3 linked regions of the Arabidopsis thaliana genome follow. The protein of the gene in region 3 interacts with the protein of the main gene of each other region in a pairwise test. Each region holds a gene or a part of one and is shown on either strand. Other genes may lie near its edges.

The links.
Region 1: the proteins of AT2G24020 (region 3) and ALB4 interact in binary tests that used the Arabidopsis thaliana proteins (3 or more experiments, as listed by UniProt).
Region 2: the proteins of AT2G24020 (region 3) and ALB3 interact in binary tests that used the Arabidopsis thaliana proteins (3 or more experiments, as listed by UniProt).

What each region holds. Positions count from the first base shown.
Region 1 is NC_003070.9:8,679,888-8,686,990, forward strand, and holds ALB4 (OxaA/YidC-like membrane insertion protein), read left to right. Parts: upstream 1-2,307; 5' UTR 2,308-2,476; coding exon 2,477-2,803; intron 2,804-2,885; coding exon 2,886-2,996; intron 2,997-3,078; coding exon 3,079-3,153; intron 3,154-3,396; coding exon 3,397-3,457; intron 3,458-3,542; coding exon 3,543-3,616; intron 3,617-3,705; coding exon 3,706-3,810; intron 3,811-3,999; coding exon 4,000-4,107; intron 4,108-4,282; coding exon 4,283-4,386; intron 4,387-4,465; coding exon 4,466-4,696; intron 4,697-4,775; coding exon 4,776-5,079; 3' UTR 5,080-5,384; downstream 5,385-7,103. Other genes in the region: AT1G24485 (ER protein carbohydrate-binding protein), read left to right, coding at 1-577, 1,117-1,176, 1,439-1,592, 1,713-2,007; AT1G24510 (TCP-1/cpn60 chaperonin family protein), read right to left, coding at 5,617-5,787, 5,870-5,983, 6,087-6,253, 6,427-6,529, 6,622-6,674, 6,756-6,888, 7,032-7,103. UniProt on the Arabidopsis thaliana protein: Required for the insertion of some light harvesting chlorophyll-binding proteins (LHCP) into the chloroplast thylakoid membrane. Plays a role in the accumulation of some cytochrome b6f components in the thylakoid membrane.
Region 2 is NC_003071.7:12,354,744-12,361,946, reverse strand, and holds ALB3 (63 kDa inner membrane family protein), read left to right. Parts: upstream 1-2,378; 5' UTR 2,379-2,788; coding exon 2,789-3,163; intron 3,164-3,251; coding exon 3,252-3,362; intron 3,363-3,472; coding exon 3,473-3,547; intron 3,548-3,624; coding exon 3,625-3,685; intron 3,686-3,769; coding exon 3,770-3,843; intron 3,844-3,944; coding exon 3,945-4,049; intron 4,050-4,190; coding exon 4,191-4,298; intron 4,299-4,390; coding exon 4,391-4,494; coding exon of another isoform or gene 4,495-4,528; exon of another isoform or gene 4,529-4,802; coding exon 4,803-4,952; intron 4,953-5,052; coding exon 5,053-5,278; 3' UTR 5,279-5,626; downstream 5,627-7,203. Other genes in the region: AT2G28790 (Pathogenesis-related thaumatin superfamily protein), read left to right, coding at 6,459-7,203. UniProt on the Arabidopsis thaliana protein: Required for the insertion of some light harvesting chlorophyll-binding proteins (LHCP) into the chloroplast thylakoid membrane.
Region 3 is NC_003071.7:10,216,444-10,221,934, reverse strand, and holds AT2G24020 (Putative BCR, YbaB family COG0718), read left to right. Parts: upstream 1-2,466; 5' UTR 2,467-2,665; coding exon 2,666-2,726; intron 2,727-2,949; coding exon 2,950-3,092; intron 3,093-3,229; coding exon 3,230-3,330; intron 3,331-3,421; coding exon 3,422-3,461; intron 3,462-3,683; coding exon 3,684-3,755; intron 3,756-3,842; coding exon 3,843-3,899; intron 3,900-3,991; coding exon 3,992-4,066; 3' UTR 4,067-4,234; downstream 4,235-5,491. Other genes in the region: AT2G24030 (zinc ion binding / nucleic acid binding protein), read left to right, coding at 1-39, 302-717, 807-941, 1,051-1,752; scpl23 (serine carboxypeptidase-like 23), read right to left, coding at 4,393-4,539, 4,612-4,717, 4,785-5,266, 5,342-5,430. UniProt on the Arabidopsis thaliana protein: Participates with ALB4 in thylakoid protein targeting. May function with specific subset of thylakoidal proteins. Binds to DNA and alters its conformation. May be involved in regulation of gene expression, nucleoid organization and DNA protection.

The sequences.
Region 1 (7,103 bases), on a different chromosome or scaffold from region 3:
ATGCCAGCATCGGTTTTTGCCTCACATCTAACAAGTTCTGCCACTTCTATCGACACAACAGGAGCTGACAATCGACCACCAGAGATTATCCTTCGGACTTCTTGGTCGCAGAAGGACATGGCTTTCTATGATATAAAGCTACCTTTTTCTGGAGTGACATTTTACATTGTCATTTATTTCTCCGAACCACTAAGCCTTGGTTCTGACCAAAAGCGGTCTTTCAATGTTTACTATGAGGACAAGCAAGTGGGTTCAGATCTAATTGTGCCACCTTTCGGGGCAGTGACTCAAGCTTCTTTGAGGGATGTGGTGAAGACTGAGCTTGCCTATCTGACTTTTGAAGCTACACCAGACTCGACTTTGGACCCACTCATCAACGCTCTCGAGCTCTATGTCATTAGTAATAGTGGTGGAAGTGGAAACGGGACGAATTCAACAAGCACGAGCGGTGGTGGCAGCCCTAGTCCTGGTGGTGGTAGTGGCAGCCCCCCTAGCACTGGCGGTGGTAGTGGCAGCCCCCCTAGCACAGGCGGTGGTGGTGGCAGCCCAAGCAAGGGCGGTGGTGGAGGCAAATCCGGTAATTATTCTTTTCATTATCTTATATATATGTTGTAAAATACGGTTAATTTTAATAATTTTGGTTTGAGATAAATAATGAATAGAAGAGGCTACTAATTCTGACAATAATAAGAAAACGGTTTGTTTTGTAGAAAAGATATCAATCTATATATTAATATATAAATCTATATATATAAGTAACTCTACTCTAGTGGTTCTTTAAAATATATGGATACTGAATTGAAAGGGAGGAACTCGTGTGGGTATATTAATTAGGATGCAAGATTTAGCTTCTAGTTATTGACGATCAACTGCCTTTTATCAACATGCAAGATCATAACTAGGCTTAAAGGTTAGAAGAATGGGAAGTGTTTAACCAAAAACTTTCATTGTAAAACATAGCCGACTAGGAGGCGGTTTAGTCCGACTTTGAGCCGTCATTTTTCTAGATAGATTGGTCAAAAACATGCTCTCCAAATTACTAGCTCCGTAAGAAAATTGACTTAAACTGAAAACTAAAATTATAAGTCACTTTTCTTCGTTTGAACGATATTTTAGGAGGAAGCAATAATGGAGATGGAGGAACCAACAAAGCTAGTGAAGATGAAAAATCTGCAGGCATATCAGTTCTCAATATTTTTTTTAATTAAGATGTTTTTTTCCATATTAGGACTTTTAGAAGAATAGTCACTTAATATAGTTTGGGACAATTTCTAGAGATTATTTTCAAAGTTTTTGTCGTATAACAATATCATTTATATATAAAAAAAAAACATTTATGAAGCTTTGGATGTTAATAATCATGTTATTATTGTTATCAAATGATATGAGATCGTTGGTTCGAGTCTAATATGTGGTACGTTTGTGTTTGTGTATGAAGATTCTTCAGGTAAATCAGGAGAGGAGAAAAGCAGCAGCAACTTAGCTTTACCTCTTGGAATTTCATTACCGACTTTGTTAAGTCTTGGAGCTGGTGGTTGGGGCGTCTGGAAATATTTCATCAAACCTAGGCGCCACCCGGAATCAGAATGTTCGTATTCTCCTTTTATTTTTATTTTTATAAACTTATTGCAATAAATCTTATTAATTTGAATTTCTACTATAATTTTTATTTGAATTAACTAATGTATATAAATATTTATTTATGGTTGCAGTGCCACTCAAACAGAATATAAGTTTACAAGTGAATATGGGAAACGCAACAGTAGTGAATGCTGGGCAATGACGACGACTTACATCTACTACATGCGGATCCATCATCACTCATCACCCTCCAATATATGTTATTCTTTTTTTCTCCTGATTTATTGGTTGTTAGATGTAATTTATACTATTTCAGTCTTTTCATCGTATGTTTCACATATTTTTATACTTAAACAAAAATCACTAACAATCATGAAATGTTTATCTCTATGGTTTTCTCCACCAAAGTTCGGGTATAGATATTAGTGTTACTTTTCGTTGTAGAATTTAATTGGTTATAGTTGTTAACGAGTGATTTATAGGTTGTGAATGGTGACTAAAACCGTATCCAAAACCGTATCGTAACAGTGTTGTAACAATATCAAAATTTTTACATATATATATGTATTTATGTATTTTTGTTATTATTTGAACCGCACTGCACTTTTCCCGCATCGCAAAACACAGTCACCATTCGGAGCCATAGTTTATGTTGTTATATTTACCCTAGAAAAAGTCAATAAAAAAGGTGAGATATATAGTTTGTGTTGTTAGTTTTAAAAAATCAGAAAAACAAAATTTGGTTTGCTCCACTTCTCAGTTCGGTCGGTCTCGCACACTGAGACGCAAAGCAAGAACACAACAACACAACAATACTGCCAACAAAATCCAAATCTTCCCCATTTTGTCTTCTCAACCAAAACCCTAAAACTCTCCTTCCTTCTTCTCCCTAGAGATGTCTTCAACAATATCCCTAAAGCCGACGCACCTTATCCTCTCCTCTTTCTCCACAGGCAAAGTCCTCCAATTCCGCCGCTCCCGTTTCAGCCACACACCGTCGTCGTCGTCGTCTCGTTATCGGACTCTCGTAGCTCAACTCGGGTTCAGACCAGATTCTTTTGATTTCATCAAGGACCATGCCGAGAATCTGCTGTACACGATCGCTGATGCCGCCGTTTCGTCCTCTGAAACCTTTGAATCTGTCGCCGGCACTACTACCAAAACGACCCAGAGCAATGATTGGTTCTCTGGTATTGCTAATTACATGGAAACTATTCTCAAGGTATTAAAAGTTTTGTCTTTTTTGGTTTAGAAAGAAATGAATTTTTGTGTAGCTATATGATTGATTTTGAATTGGATTGCAGGTTTTGAAAGATGGGTTATCAACTGTACATGTTCCTTATTCCTATGGTTTCGCTATCATTCTATTGACTGTGCTTGTTAAGGCTGCTACGTTCCCATTGACGAAAAAACAGGTTTTTAGTTTGTTTCTATTGCTGCTAAGCCATGATATCATTTTTAGTCCATGTTATTGAATTGGTGGTTTATTCTCTACAGGTTGAATCTGCCATGGCTATGAAATCTTTGACGCCTCAAATAAAGGCTATTCAGGAACGGTATGCTGGTGATCAGGTGAAAAACAATTCTTCTATACTGTACACATGGGTTTTATTTGTCCTGATGCTATACTAAGTTATGTTTGCATCAATTCTTAGTTGATGGAGTTAAGGAAAAAGTAAGAACATGTGTGTTGCTATTGGTTCCACAATTGTGGAGGGATACTAATGAATATAACAAATATTATAGCTTTACTATGTATGAATATAGCCCTCTTGTTTAAACAAATAGCTTCTTTATTTTTGTTTATCTTTGCAGGAGAAAATTCAGCTTGAAACTGCTAGATTGTATAAGCTTGCTGGAATAAATCCCCTTGCAGGTACAGTATGTTACTTCAGCTTATCGTATGTTTTTCCATTTGAGACAACATTTATGGTTAAGCTATATTTTCATTTATCTGTTAGGCTGCCTCCCCACACTAGCCACGATACCTGTCTGGATTGGGCTATATAGAGCCCTCTCAAATGTTGCAGATGAGGTACCTGGAAATAACTATATCCTTTTGTATCTGTAAGTGCCTTGAGATTCTTTTTTGACAAGTAGTTGGATGCTTGTTTCTAACTTTAGGGGCTCTTAACGGAAGGTTTTTTCTGGATACCTTCTCTTGCTGGTCCAACGACTGTTGCTGCAAGACAGAATGGCAGTGGAATCTCATGGCTGTTCCCTTTCATTGTAAGTATCATTTGAAACTTGATATTTCGAAAATGGAATCTAGACTAGACTCATAGTTCTTACGAACTCTTATTCAGTTTAATTGTTCAAGCATATAAAACTGATTAAAATGAATTATTGAAGAAAACTTGAGGGGAGTGGTGTCGGACCTCATCGCTGATGTCTACAAATTTCCATTTTATTTCTCAGGAGGGACACCCACCTCTCGGATGGCCAGACACATTAGCATATCTTGTCTTACCTCTATTGCTCGTCTTCTCTCAATACCTCTCCATTCAAATTATGCAGTCCTCGCAGGTATAGCATCATGTGGAATATGTGATAATAGTCTATTAGTAGTTACGTCTATGTTGAAAATGTGTACCACATTGGTGCCTGTGCTGAAAGCTCATTCCATTAAAGTATAATTCAATCAACAACGAAATCCTTCTATGCAACAGAGAAATTTATGTTTCTTATCATTTTTTGTCAGAGTAATGATCCAGCCATGAAGAGCTCACAAGCAGTGACTAAGCTTCTTCCACTGATGATTGGCTATTTTGCATTATCAGTTCCTTCTGGTTTAAGTCTTTATTGGTGAGTCTAATTTTCTGTGGTTTTCGTGAGTGGTCAGCTTCCACTCGCTATTCTTCTCAGTTTTAAAGTGTTTTTGCAGGCTGACCAACAACATTTTGAGCACGGCACAGCAAGTATGGCTTCAAAAATATGGTGGTGCTAAGAATCCAGTGGAGAAATTCACTAATTTGGTCACTAAGGAAGATAAAACACAACAAATTGAGAAGTCTTTTTCAGAACCACTAGTTCAGAAGTCTGTTTCAGAACTGAAAATACCAAGAGAGAAGGGTGGTGAAAAGGTGACCCCAGAATGCCCCAAACCTGGTGAAAGGTAACCAAATCTTCTAAAATGTGTCATCATTCGTTCCTAGAAGCTGTTTTTTTGTACTAACACGTCCATGTGATCCCAGGTTTAGGCTGCTGAAAGAGCAAGAAGCAAAGAGACGTCGAGAAAAAGAAGAGAGGCAGAAAGCTGAAGCAGCTCTATCTAATCAAAATACAGACAAAGCACATGAACAAGATGAAAAATCTGATACAGCCATTGTCGCTGAAGATGATAAAAAAACAGAACTTTCTGCTGTGGATGAAACATCCGATGGCACAGTAGCTGTGAATGGGAAGCCATCCATTCAAAAGGACGAGACTACGAATGGGACATTCGGCATTGGCCATGATACAGAACAACAGCATTCTCATGAAACAGAGAAGAGGTAAAGACTCATGTTTTCATGTCTTAAGGCGAAGCCAAACAAACAAAGAGGAATTGAGATTTGAATAAGACGAGGAGAAATCTTGGTACTCAGGCCTTGTAGTCCCTCTGCAACAGATTTCGAAGTTTATAGATCTTAAGAGTGGGAAACATTAGTCTTCAGGGTTTAGATTTTGTGTACAAAGACCATAGCAGATGGGTATTTGAAGCCTTCGAAGCTTGGTTTCATATTTCTTATGTTCTTATGTACAAGCAAACAATTACTTTTGTCCTCGTTCACTGGTGTTACACTAATACGATAATAGTTTAGTCTACAGTATGAGACCTGCATCAGTTACTAAATCGAAAAGAAAATGCAAACGAGTGCTTCGATCTGTGGACAAGTACACACAAAAATTAAGATCTGACGATGTTCTTAAATAGAAGGTTGCAAAACAAAGGGAACAAGTCAAGGATAACGATGTCGAAGGGTATCAAAAGCTAATAGAAAGCAAACAAAAAACACCGAAGAAGCCAAAGGTTAGGACAAAGGTAGCAACAAATCAGTATTCAGAATTGGAGATGACATCGTCGATCTTTAGAATCATCTTAACGACTTGCGTAGCTAGCAAAATTTGTTGCTGTTTCCCGATCAATGTTTCAAACACATTTTGCTCCCTCATATCGTTTGTTCCCACGTCATTGCAATCTATTCCATAGAAGGGAATATTCTCCTGTTCATCAAAACCCAATGTTTGTTCAGTCACCGAACAAGCAAGTCAATGATATAGATAATAAAGTTCGTCGTTTACTAACCTTAATTTGCTGAGATTTAACCGCAGAGAGTGTCTCAATGGGCTGTAATCCACTGTTCTCTGCAAGAGCCATAGGGACAGAGTCCAAAGCTTCTGCAAACGCCCTAATTGCATACTGTAAATGAGGAAGTATTTATACATGATTAGTATTCAGAGTTACAATTTGAGAAACAAATGATTTCATTTCAGGGTATCAAAGAGGAAAGATCATATTTTACCTGCTCCACGCCAGGGTATTTATCAGCAGCTGCATCAACCGCAAGTGAGCAAGCGATTTCAGCTGCCCCACCTCCATAAACAATTGATTTGTTGCGGATGAGATTCCTAGCCACACACAGAGCATCGTGGATACTACGTTTCGTCTCTTCTATCATCATTTTGTTACCTAAACCATATTCCGCAACAAATCGTTGGATCAATCAGTTATACAATATCGTTGTCCACCATATACTTAGAAGGCATTAGATTCAGTACATCGATGTTTATCTCTCATCAGCTATTCAAAAGTCAAAACAGTGCTGCTAAAGTGCTAATAAGTACAAAAGACAAGGCGATTACCTCCACGGATGAAAACAGTGACAGCTTTTGAGTTCGCACAGTGCTCAATATACAGCATTCGTTCTTTTGTTGTGCCAAAAGATTTCTCACGAACCACGCCAGCCTAAATATATCAGGAAATGTTGGGTTTCAATGGTCTGTTTAAAATCTAATTAACATTTTACAAGCAAAACCTAGTGAAAGTAAAAAAAATACCTTCCCTAACTTCTCTGGGGTCAACTCCTGGAATCTTGGAACAATTCTACCGCCTACAAAAAGAAAAATTTCTGATCAGCTTTGCATAACTGATACAAACACTAGCATTAGATGCTTAAGAGTACTTTACTTACCTGTGGCTATTGCGATAAGTTCTAATTCAACACCCCCTACCCATCTGACAGCAGGCAAATTCCTGTGCATCAATAGATGGTTTGCCTCATCATCGAATCCCCATTGGCAAATAACCAGCGTAGCACCAACATCCTGCAAAGTTAAAATCATAAGGGTCATACATAAATCATATCATAAAATGCATTGTGGTACTAATGACCATTGTCAAAAGGATTTCTTCAGTAGCTTACTCAACATCCAACTGACAATATAAATTAATACAAATTAAAACCTACCTTGCACTTTTGTACCATCTCATCGAAATATTGCTGCTCTTGCTTGCGCAATGTCTCAAACTTTTCCACTGT
Region 2 (7,203 bases), 2.1 Mb from region 3:
TTCTATTTTATGTCTACTTTTATTTTTATTTTCAAAAGAAGAACAAAGAAGAGATCTTTCAAATTGTCTCTACATTTTATCTTCTCTTTTACTTTTCCCTAACGATTTTGTTGTATGTAGTATATATCTTTAATAATCAGTCGTTTCGTATATAAATGCGAACATCTTTTTCAGAAAGAGATTGCCTAAAATGGCGTATATGTTGTATTATTACCCTAAAAACAAATAATCTTTAACGTTAGTTGATCATGCATGAAATCATCAGCAAACCTTTTCATAATCCCACTCATCTCTTTTGTGCTCTTGTCCTTCTCCATTTTGTTGTTATCTTCTCTCTTTTTTTCTTCATTTTGACCATATATCATTTCTCAATAATTTTTCGAATTTATCATGAAAAACGTAGAACTTCTACATGTCAAAAGCTTAGATACACTGAAACCATGTATTTTAGTGGTTTATGCTACAATCGTGTCTATGTGTTACTATTATTAATAAAATTTATATAATGCATATTGTTAAACAAAAAGTTGACGAAATTATGACAGAAAAAAATGACGAAACAATTTCTTTTAACTCTTTATCCACAAATATCTGATTTTTTTTTTTTTTTTTTTTTTTTTTTTTTTTTTTTTTACTAGGGAAGCAATGAATTGCTCTTTTTTTCTCTCCTGGTGTCAATGCTTCAATTATGAACGTTAACTAATTTATTGCTTTATGAGCTTCTTTCTCGTCCAAACATTCTTAAAAACAATAGTGAAAGTCTCGATTACGAATTCAATATGACTACGTTCAATTTCATATATCGCTTTCCATTCTAATTTTTTAAGATTTGGCATAGGTGTACTAATCATTTGCTTCATCTGCCGAACAAATTTTCATAATTACTTTTTTAAAGAACGCATATGCGGTTATAATTTGTACCACTCTTAACTTTGCATATGAATTTACTTAATTACTTATGCACCCATTAATCAATGGAAGCCCGAGGTAATATGCAACCTGATTAAAAAATATTACGTTATTATTCTGATGGTCCGTACATACAAATATTACTTTTTATAATTTTCCTATGTATCCTTTGTATATGAATTGAAAAGCATTTTAGAGAAATAATTTCTATTTAGTAACAAATTAATGAGTTATTACCCATAAATTATTCTTACGTCTCCATCAAAAAGTGAGTTTAGCCTTGAAAGTTCTGTGTCGACGTCGTTATGTTATAAAACAATAAATACGAACTCTTAATCGTTCGTTGTCATATAAAATTAAGAAAAAAATACAACATCATCATTTTTTTTATTTTTTTTGTCAAACTTACAACATCATCATTTCTATCAAAAATTTATGTTAAAAAACAAATTATGAAATAAATAATTATTTCACAACGAAAAATAATAATAACAAATATAATTATTTTCAAAACAACTTTAAATTTAATTTCTATATATAGTATTTGGTATAGGTCTATATATGATCGTGACGTGTGAAATATAATTGAGGAACGGTGGATGATTCTTGAAAACAATGTGGAAGATATTTAATTCAGTATGATGCTTAAAAAAACTCATAACGTTAGCTATGTTTTGTTGAATATTACATCACATAAACGTATGGGTGTGCACTTAGAGCGAGCCGGTGATTATAGGTTTGTTTTTTTTGGTAAAAAATTATTGAGAGATTATTGATTATAGGTTTTGAAGCTATCGATCTGAGCTAGAGATTAAGGAACGAATCCCTCTATGAACATTTAAACCTTGTTCTTTTTGCTTATTAACTGAGAGATTAGGATCCTAAAATCTATACAACACTAGAGATCATTATCCAAAAGATTTTACTTAGTCCCATTTGCGGTCACATTTAATTCCCTAAAAGCATGAAAATTCTATCCCATTTGTTTTTTCCACTAGACTTGGGACTCAAAGCGTAATTTATAACTATCTTACGTTAGAGAGCATTATTTACGACCATTATTTAGGCTGAACTCATTATAGACATCGATCAAGCTCTAGTGTTAAATACATTTTCTTTGTGGGATTAATCTTTAAAGGCCTTGTAATCACTTACTATTTCGTAAGTTATGAAGATTTGGGAACCGGATTATGGCTTTGGGAAGTTAAGTCCTATGACTCAAGCTTACCTTTTTAGGGTTGTGTATAGGTTCTCGATAAATGTTTCAGATTAGTTCATTTGTTTTTTTGTTTATAAAAACTACATAATATAAAACGTGGAAAGAAAGTGATAATGACAAGAAATAAAAGTAAGAAAGGTGGTGGTGTGAGAATCAGATTCGATGTCAACTAATTGAAAGAGAGTACGCAGCTTTTTCTTCACAATTATATATATTTTGTGGAAAAGCTTACCATACATTCACAAAGCATTCGAGATTTGATTTTTATAGAAAAGTATTTACATAAAGTATTTTCTAAATCGGTTTCTATTTTGTATGCTTTCAGTTTTATTTTGTGTTGGGGAAGTGATCCATGCATTGAGCTTGGAGATTGATGGATTGGTAATTAAGCCTATTAAGTTAAGCAGGCCTGTTTCTAAAATGGGCCCTAATAAGCCCAAACTACAAAAAGCACCGATATATCCCACGTTAGATACATGTCCACGTGGACTCCTATGACTGGATGTAATCTCCACCACGCGCGATCACCAGCTTCGTCTCTCATTTTCATTTTCCAATTTATTTTCAAAAAAAGATAAATCCAGAAAAAAATTTACAAAATAAAAAAATAAAAATCTCTATCTTCTTCTTCGTCTCTTCTCATCCTCCTCTCAAGCTCCAATGGCGAGAGTTCTAGTCTCGTCTCCATCTTCATTCTTCGGTTCACCGTTGATTAAACCGTCGTCATCTCTCCGTCACAGTGGAGTAGGAGGAGGAGGAACCGCTCAATTTCTTCCATACCGGAGTAATAATAACAAACTCTTCACTACTTCAACCACCGTACGATTCAGCTTAAACGAGATTCCTCCTTTCCATGGCTTGGATTCATCTGTAGACATCGGAGCGATTTTCACCAGAGCTGAATCTCTTCTCTATACAATAGCTGACGCCGCCGTTGTTGGTGCTGATTCCGTCGTAACTACTGATTCATCCGCCGTGCAGAAGAGTGGTGGTTGGTTTGGTTTTATCTCCGATGCTATGGAATTGGTTCTTAAGGTGAGTTTTAAGCTGCTAATTTCGATCTCTGTGTGTAGAATTCTGGAAATTGTATTTGTAGCTTAAGTTTTTTGGTTTGGATTTTTAGATTTTGAAGGATGGATTATCAGCGGTTCATGTACCTTATGCTTATGGATTTGCGATTATCTTGCTTACGATTATCGTCAAAGCAGCGACGTATCCTTTGACTAAGCAACAGGTTAGTGAGTGTGATTAGTTGAATTTTGCAGCTCCTCTTGTCACTTTGATTCAATTTTGGCATGTTGGTTGAGAATTTTTGAGCATTGCTTTTGTTTTGGAATCCTTTAGGTTGAATCAACACTAGCGATGCAAAATCTTCAACCGAAAATCAAAGCGATTCAACAACGTTACGCAGGAAATCAGGTGAGTTTCTTTGGATAGAGAATGAGTTACTTGTGGATGACGAGTCTGATTTGTTTGTTCTGTTTTTGGATATATAGGAGAGGATACAACTAGAGACATCGCGATTGTATAAACAAGCTGGTGTTAATCCGTTGGCAGGTACTTTCTTTTAGAAGTTACGAGTTTTGTATTCCCTTCCTGAATTGTGGTGACATATGCACATTATTGTTTTTTTTATGTTAGGTTGCTTACCAACTTTAGCAACCATACCAGTTTGGATTGGTTTATACCAAGCTCTCTCTAACGTGGCCAACGAGGTACATATACCTTATGTCTCTTTCAACTACTGATTTCGCTAGAGACCGGATAAGTTTGTCTCTTTCAACTACTAATTGTTCTAAAAACTTTTTTTTTGTAGGGATTGTTTACAGAAGGTTTCTTTTGGATTCCATCTCTGGGTGGACCAACATCTATAGCTGCTCGGCAGAGTGGATCCGGCATTTCGTGGCTTTTTCCGTTTGTGGTAATGGAAGAAAAAAACTTTATGTGAATACGTTTTCTCATTTGATACTTATCTTTATACTAAAAAATTTCATACAACTGAGTCTTTTGCTGTGCAATGAACCTTTATCAAATTGGTGTCTAATATCGTTCGGTGGTGCAGGACGGGCATCCACCATTGGGATGGTATGACACTGTAGCTTATCTTGTTCTACCTGTTCTACTTATTGCCTCCCAGTATGTGTCAATGGAAATTATGAAGCCTCCTCAAGTGAGAAATAAACACAAGTTTCTTTTATTTTTCCTGTTACTTAAACAATTTGATATGATTGTTCTGAAACCGAATTTAATTTCTTTTGTCAGACTGATGATCCTGCACAGAAGAATACGCTTCTTGTTTTCAAGTTTCTTCCACTCATGATCGGTTACTTTGCATTGTCTGTCCCATCAGGACTATCTATTTACTGGTTGGTTTCCCTCTCCTTGAAACTTCTCATCTAACTGTTTTATCCATGCCCTTGATCTACTCATTAAATGGAGTATAAGAAAGATTTTCTCTAGTAATTAACCTAGATGGCTTCATTCTCAAAATGTACGTAAGACGGGTTAGAATTTCGAGGAATACGAAGCTTGTTTGATAAGGAATCATCTAGTGTGACTACATTTTGTAACATCAATATTATTGTATATGACTGTGTTTATTGGTAGGATCTGAGTTTTATTTTTTCCCTTTTTATTATGCTACTGCTTATGTTAAACCATCCTATGGTTTTAGGCTCACAAATAATGTACTTAGTACCGCCCAACAAGTATATCTGCGTAAACTAGGTGGTGCAAAGCCAAATATGGATGAAAACGCAAGCAAAATAATAAGTGCGGGACGAGCAAAGAGATCTATTGCTCAGCCTGACGATGCTGGCGAAAGGTAAGTGAATCCCGAGTCTAGTGGAGATTATATCTCTCAATACGAAGCGTTTTTCTTACAAGTTTGTTATTTCTGATAAATGTATATTGGATCACAACAGATTTAGACAATTAAAAGAGCAAGAGAAGCGCAGCAAGAAGAACAAGGCGGTTGCGAAAGATACAGTTGAATTGGTAGAAGAATCTCAGTCTGAATCAGAAGAAGGGTCTGATGATGAGGAAGAAGAGGCTCGTGAAGGAGCGTTAGCTTCGAGCACAACAAGCAAGCCGCTTCCTGAGGTTGGCCAACGAAGAAGCAAAAGATCGAAGCGGAAACGCACTGTATAGAACCAAAGCAAACGAAATTGCAAGTAAGGAAGAGAAAAGAGAGAGATTTGAATCTTGTTCCTTAGTTTGATCTTTTGATATATATTTGCATACACCATGTCCGGTAATTATCTAATATTAGGGCACAAAAAGGTCATTCTAAAGTTAAAAGCAGTAGTTGATCAAAGTAAATTGTTTATGTGATTCATCTTATTATAAATGTATTAACGTAAATGTGTGTACTATTATGACTTTTCAACATGCCCGCTTCAGTTTTGTTAGCATTTCGTTGTTGTAAACTTGCAATCTATTTGTTTGGTGCTTTTATTAGCTTTGTCAGCTTATAAAAATGGTAAATGTGAATCAAGTAGTATAGTAATTTGTGCAATAAACGAGACAACGATTCCCCATGAATAAACAACAATTACTTCCTGACAAAGAAGCATTGTTCTTTGGATTGGCATGGATAAAATAGAGAGAGGTAAAAATATTACGATTTGGATTGGGCTGAGGCCCAAGATATGGTTACACGATTTTCAAATTCTCGAAGTTGTACAAGTAGACAAAAGACATCTTGTTTTGTCGTGTTGTCGTTTGGTGTTTGTCGTTTTGATGTGTTTGTCAAAGAACCCTGTTACTAATCTGAACGAATATAACTTGTCAGTGTAGCCACATTACACTAATATTCAGAGAAAGTTGTCATGTTGTTACAATCATGAGTCACATAGCATGTAATAGAGTGTACATTTCAATAGGTTTAGAAGTTTAGAACACATAAATCAATCGGTCCATCTAAAATGTTTGCATTATGGTTTACTCATTGTAACTTGTAAACATTACATATGTGAATGCTTACTATCCTAGAAAAGCAAAACTGTTGGAAACAGCTAAAAATTAATATATCTGCCTAATATTTTCAGAATATGTTATTTTTCAACCATCCGAAATAGTGCTATTTACCAAAAACACACATTAGGATTAGTTTACCAATGAAGGAAACAAAGCTTCGTTAGTCACAAACCACATGCCATCATTTTATTCTTTAAAGAGCTTTCAAGCTTTTGACTCATAGAAATAGAATCCAATATTCATCTCTTTTAAACTGACATTAAAGCCCTTCGCCTCCTTAAACCCACATGCTAAATTCATTGCCTAACCACCCAAAACATCCAAAGGGTATTTTCGTCACTCCAAAAAATGTATGCATATCGAAAAATACTTTAGCTTATATACACACACGTCGCATTGGCACACCTTTCACACCAAAAGCTACACAATGGCTAAAACCTCTCTTCCTCTCGCCGCCTCCTTCCTCCTCCTCATCTCCTTCTCCTCCGCCGTAGACACTTCCCGTCTCTTCCTCACCGTCGTCAACAACTGTCCCTTCACTGTCTGGCCAGCCATTCAACCCAACGCCGGCCACCCCGTCCTAGAGAAAGGTGGCTTCGCTCTCCCAACTTTCACTCACCGCTCCTTCAACGTTCCAACCACACACTGGTCCGGTCGCATCTGGGCCAGAACCTGGTGTGCCCACTACAACGGAAAATTCTCCTGCCTCACCGGAGACTGCGGAAACCGCCTGGAATGCAACGGTCTCGGCGGGGCACCACCAGCTTCTCTAGCTCAGTTCGACCTCCACCACGGTGGTCACCACGACTTCTCCTCTTACGGTGTCTCTCTCGTTGACGGTTACAATGTTCCGATGACCGTGACTCCTCACGAAGGCCATGGTGTCTGTCCTGTCGTTGGTTGTCGTGAAGATCTAATAAAAACGTGTCCGGCTCATCTTCAGGTCCGGTCACACAGTGGACACGTGGTGGCTTGTAAGAGTGGGTGTGAGGCTTTCCATACAGACGAGCTGTGTTGTCGTGGTCATTACAATAGCCCTAACACGTGTAAAGCTTCGAGCCATTCGCTGTTCTTTAAGCATGCGTGTCCTTCGAGTT
Region 3 (5,491 bases):
AACCGAACTTTCCTTTCTTGTCGGAACGATCAATGCCAGGTTTGTACTGTCTGTGCATCGTATTTTTTATCCATCCCCGACAGAGAACATTGTTATGATTCTGCACTTTTCGTATTTTGTTTGGTGATGCGATTGTCTATAGGAGTTGATTTGTTGAGACCTGTTTAGTTTCTGTAACGTAAATTTTGAGTGTTTGTTTTTTCATGTTTTGATTTCACGAAATTGAAATCTGTGTGAAAAATCTGAAGTTTATGAATCTTCTCATGTCGAAATGTGAAGTGATTATGAACCTTTTTCGTAGGACAACAAAGTGAGGATCAAGTTCGGGAAGCGATCAAACGAGAAATTGAGAAAGAACAAATCCGTCAAGAGATCATTATCGCAGAAGCAGCGAGAAAACGAGAGCTTATAGCTGAGGTTTTACAAGAGATGGCTATCGAGAGAGAAATGGCGATACGACGAGTTTCAGACACGGAGATGTCTCTAGAGGAAAAGCTAACTATGTGGATCAATCAAAGGAAGCTTCCAAATCAAAATCAGAATCAGTTCAACAACTTTTTCAGACAGAAGTATAGTTACATTGATTCTCTGATCAACACAGGCTCTTACAACAGTCTACTTACATCACCAATGATGCAATTGCCTCAACTTCAGCAAATGTCTGAAGCTACCGGAACATCAATGTTGGAGTCTAATAAAGAGAATTTGATTGTATTGGTGAGTTCTTTAAGTAATGGTAAACATAAATGATAGAGTATATATAAGCCTTTGTTTCATATGTGTTCTCTTTGATTTCTCTATTGCAGAATAGAGCTGATATTATAGGAGCTAAGCCTAAAGCAGACAGTGTTGGTACCATGCAATTGCCTAAACTTCAGCAAATGCCTGAGGCTACAGGAACATCAGTTTTGGAGTCTAACAAAGAGCAGTTTATTGTATTGGTAAGTGTTTTACTACGAGTGTGATATCTCATCTTTTCTATCCACGTACTTTCCTTACTTGCTTATAACAAATCCTGACCATATGTGTTCTCTTTGATTACTATTGCAGGCTAGAGCTGATCCTGTAGGAGAAAAGCGTAAAGCAGAGGATATTCAAACTGGTTTGAACGAAGATCTTCAAGTGAAAAGGCCGAAAGCAAAAGAATCAGAAGCAAAGGCGATGTCTTTGGAAACCGGAGAAATAGTCTCTTCGAAGGTTCCTTGTTCAGGGAAACTTGGCAGTGGAAAGAAAGCAGAAGGTAAGCTAAGAACTAACCAGAAGTTTTGGTGTGAGATTTGTAAAGTTGGGACCTATTGTCAAATAGTCATGAGGGATCATGAGTTAGGTAAAAAGCATAAGGCTGCTGTTACACAACAGAATGAGACACCTGAAGCTGCTTCAACCTCCTTATCCCCTGCTTCCGTTACAGCACCGCAACCAGAAGCCATTAGAGTATGTGAAAATGCTAATCCGCAGGGTCAAAAAGTAGATGAAATTGCGGCGAAAGAAACAACGGGAAAGAAGACAAAAGGTGAGAAGAAAAAGAAGGAAACGGTTTGGTGCAAAACTTGTAATATTCAGACGAATTCTGAGCAGACGATGAGGAATCATACGCTTGGGAAAAAACACATGGCTTTGCTTGAGAAACAGCAGAATAAACTCATTACAGTCCCAGTGAGATCTCTGAATGCTGATCCAGGACAGAAAGAATCAGTATCTCTAGCAATGGATGATACACAAGGTAAGGTTCATTGCTTGGAGAAGTCATAGAAGATTCTTTGTAACTTTGTTAGATTATTTTATATCAACTTTTTTTACCAAAAAAACCTTTGTTAGGTCATGACAATATACCATGAGGAATCAGAGATTGAATTCATGAATTTATTTTTATTTTTTCTTATGCAATGTGACAGTAGGAGATTTGCATGATGTTTTTTTTGTTGTGAGATTGAGAATCATGAGAATAATAACCAATGCCATTAGAGAGACCAGAATAAGTGTATAGATCATGATTGCATTTTGGAGTGTGTGTTGTCTTATGCTTTTATCATATGTTTTACAAACTTACAACTGTACAAGCAGAGTATGTTTGTTTGGACATGATACGATGATAAATGTCTTCTTTCAGGAGAGGCCCAAAATGGTTTGCCTAGAGGTATTTCAAATGTTTGGGGTGAGTCTCTCTATACATAGAGGGTATATAGACAACTCCACAATCAATCAATAGTTCTTCTCGCAATACAGCTCCACAAGACCACAACACATATGACCATGTCCCATACATAGAACCACGAAAGATGGTTCTATTGTAGCATGTTTTTTTTTTTTTTTGGTTTAATGAAGCATGTTACAATCTCTGATAAAGTTTCATCTATACTAGAAATTGAATTTTTCGAAAATCGAATCAATATCTGATGTAAGAACATTTTACGTTTGATCACTCAATTTCGTACTGAAAGTGTATAAACTTTAAAGTTGCGACTTCTTCACTAGAAAAGAATGGTACAAAAACAATCTAAGCTCAAAAAAAGAGTTAAAGTGACGTGGCGCAAAATCATTGGTTAAAAGCTTCAACAAACACAGAAGCTACGAACAAGTTGCCCGGAAAAAATTAGCTTCCGGTTTTATCTTCTCGAATTTCAGAAAAAAAGCCCTTCTCTAATATCTCTCTACTCGTACAACAATGGCGTCGATGGCTGCAACCACCAATTTCACCAAATCTATGCTCTTTCCATTCTCTCATGGTTAGTCTCTCCTAAATCCCTACTTCTATCTCTCGCTTAAGGTTTCGTGACACTGGATTTTGAGTCTTTATGTATCTGTCGTACATTAGGTTTCATCTGAATTTGCTTAATCTTTCGTAATTAGACTTTTCTATTCCATAATTGGAGGAATTGAAGCGTAATTTTGTATTTATAAGTGTTTTTGGGATTGAAATGGGCTTTAGTAATTTTTTGGTTTGAATAGTTTCAGGAAATGCGAGCTTGAATTCGCAGAGAAGAACATGGCCAAAGCAGTACAAGTCTAAAAATGGTTACAGGTCTCTTCGAGTGAATGGATTATTTGGAGGTGGAAACAAAGATAATAACAGTGAAGATGGACAATCAAAGGTTGGTACATTACATTGGTTTTTTCAAATATCAAACAGATTCTGCAATAGGTGAACATTTTAAGTTAGGCTTCATGTTGTAAAGATTCAAAGTTTATGATTTTGGAACTAATGAAGTTTGTGTGTGATCTTTCCTAGGCAGGAATATTTGGTAATATGCAGAATATGTATGAGACTGTGAAGAAAGCTCAAATGGTTGTTCAAGTGGAAGCTGTACGTGTTCAAAAAGAGTTAGCTGCGTAAGTCCGGCACATTTATCATACAAAATTTGAGGAAGTTTTCTTCTATGAGTAATGAGTTTTGCATGTTGGTTTTGTTCCAATTTCGCAGCGCAGAATTTGATGGTTATTGTGCAGGCGAGCTTGTCAAGGTCAGTTTAGAGCTTGTTTTGGCCTTAAGATAGATCAATGCACATAATAGATCAGTGAAGTATTAACTAACGTTTACTTGATGATGTAAGAACTGTGTTTTCTGATTTGTTAGTCTTTGGATGATTTGGCAAGAACTCCACTCTAGAATCTCAAAACTTTGTTTAGTCTTTATTGTTTCTGTTACAAAGTCTGATGACCTAAACCTTATGAATTTGTGTCAGGTTACGTTATCAGGTAACCAGCAACCAATCCGTACTGATATTACCGAGGCAGCAATGGAACTAGGTTCCGAAGTGAGTAACCATACGTACCTTGTTATGGAACAGTCAAAGCTAATTCATCAGTTTCTCTTGTTGATGTTGTGTGTTTTCCTTTGGCAGAAACTATCACAACTTGTCACAGAAGCATACAAGGACGCACACGCCAAGAGTGTGGTGGTATAGCAATTTGCAGACCATTTATCACAATGCAACTAAAGTATTTGTTTCTATCCATTTCTTCTAATTGAACTTTGTGAATTTTTTCACAGGCTATGAAAGAGAGAATGAGTGACCTTGCGCAGAGCTTAGGAATGCCACCGGGTCTCAGCGAAGGAATGAAGTAAGAAGCTGTTTTTGTTGTTTCATTTCAACTTTCAGGTATGAGAGGTTCGGCTTTTTTTGTTTGTTTGTATATCAGTCAGGCAGAAGCAAAGAGCTTTGTACTCTACTCTTATGGAATTATATATAAAAGATTTGAAACTTTTGGTTTTCTGCAATTTTATTCCCAAGGTATCAACACAATTGTTCTAGTATCAACATATATCTTCTTCGAATACAAGAATGCTTTTAGTGTCTTATGAAATCAAGTTGATTTGAAACATAAAAATTTCAAAAGAAAACACCGAGTTAACTCGGGTTTTGGAGGGAGCCTTCTATCTTATGTGTGTGACTAATAAGATCTTGGAAGCTCTTTGCCGGCCAAGAACGATCTTAAAAGAGTGAGAGCACGCTCGGGTTGCAACACCGGCACTTCGTGGCCCGCCCCTCTTATCGTCGCAAAGGTAAGCCCCTCATATACCTCTGTCCATCCTCCCACCTGACACCACCACCATGAGAAATCACTAGCTCTGCATAATAAGAATAGAACCACGAATTTGATGAAAATTACCTGCTTTTCGGAGTACCAAGGGTACCAGGGAGTTTTCACCGGAAGATTGAGTTTACTGAGGGCAAGTCGAGTCCCAGTCACTGGAACCACTGCGTCTGTATCGCCACTACATCAACAAAATGTGGTTAAAGGACACGAAAGGTACTTTACTTGCAGCTAGTTTCATGGTTTACCTAAAGACCCAGATCCTCAAACCAGCGGCAGTGAGTTCCTTGTATATCGGCAACATTGAAAACTCGGAATCTTTCCAGTTGTTATTCACAACCATATTGCACAATGTCCACTTATAAGGAATGGAGGTAAGATTAGCGTGCATAGCTCGTTGCACATCAGGACGGTTGTAATATATCTCAGCGTAGCTTTCGGTACAAGGGTCGTACTCGTATTCCTCTACCAAAAGCCGTCCATGCAGGAACTTGGTCTGGTTGGTTTGATGTACACATGAGGGTGAGTAGATGCTGTACCCATTGACTTTGCCAAACTCTCTGTAGGCGAAGTAGAGTGCCCAATTGCACTTGTCCGAGGTTTTATCCGCAGTGAAGCTGCAGTGTTTGAGGATAGACTTGTAAGTTTTGTCAGAGATCATTGCGTGTGACCACGCATACATGGCGGCTCCTAATCTGTCGTAATGCTTGTCCATATCTCCATTTCCCACCTGTGCAAAAGAATATATATGCATTAAGGAGGGATTAAGGTTTCGGAAATGTGATAAATAGAACCGTAGTTTTACCATGAATCCTTTGAGGTTAATGATGGGTGTATTGTTGAAAGCTTTGTTGTAGAGATGGATCTTTTTGGCAAGCTGAGGAACATAATGACCTATAAAAGATATAGACATGAAAATAAGTCTATGGTCTAGAAAATGACTTAAATAAAAACC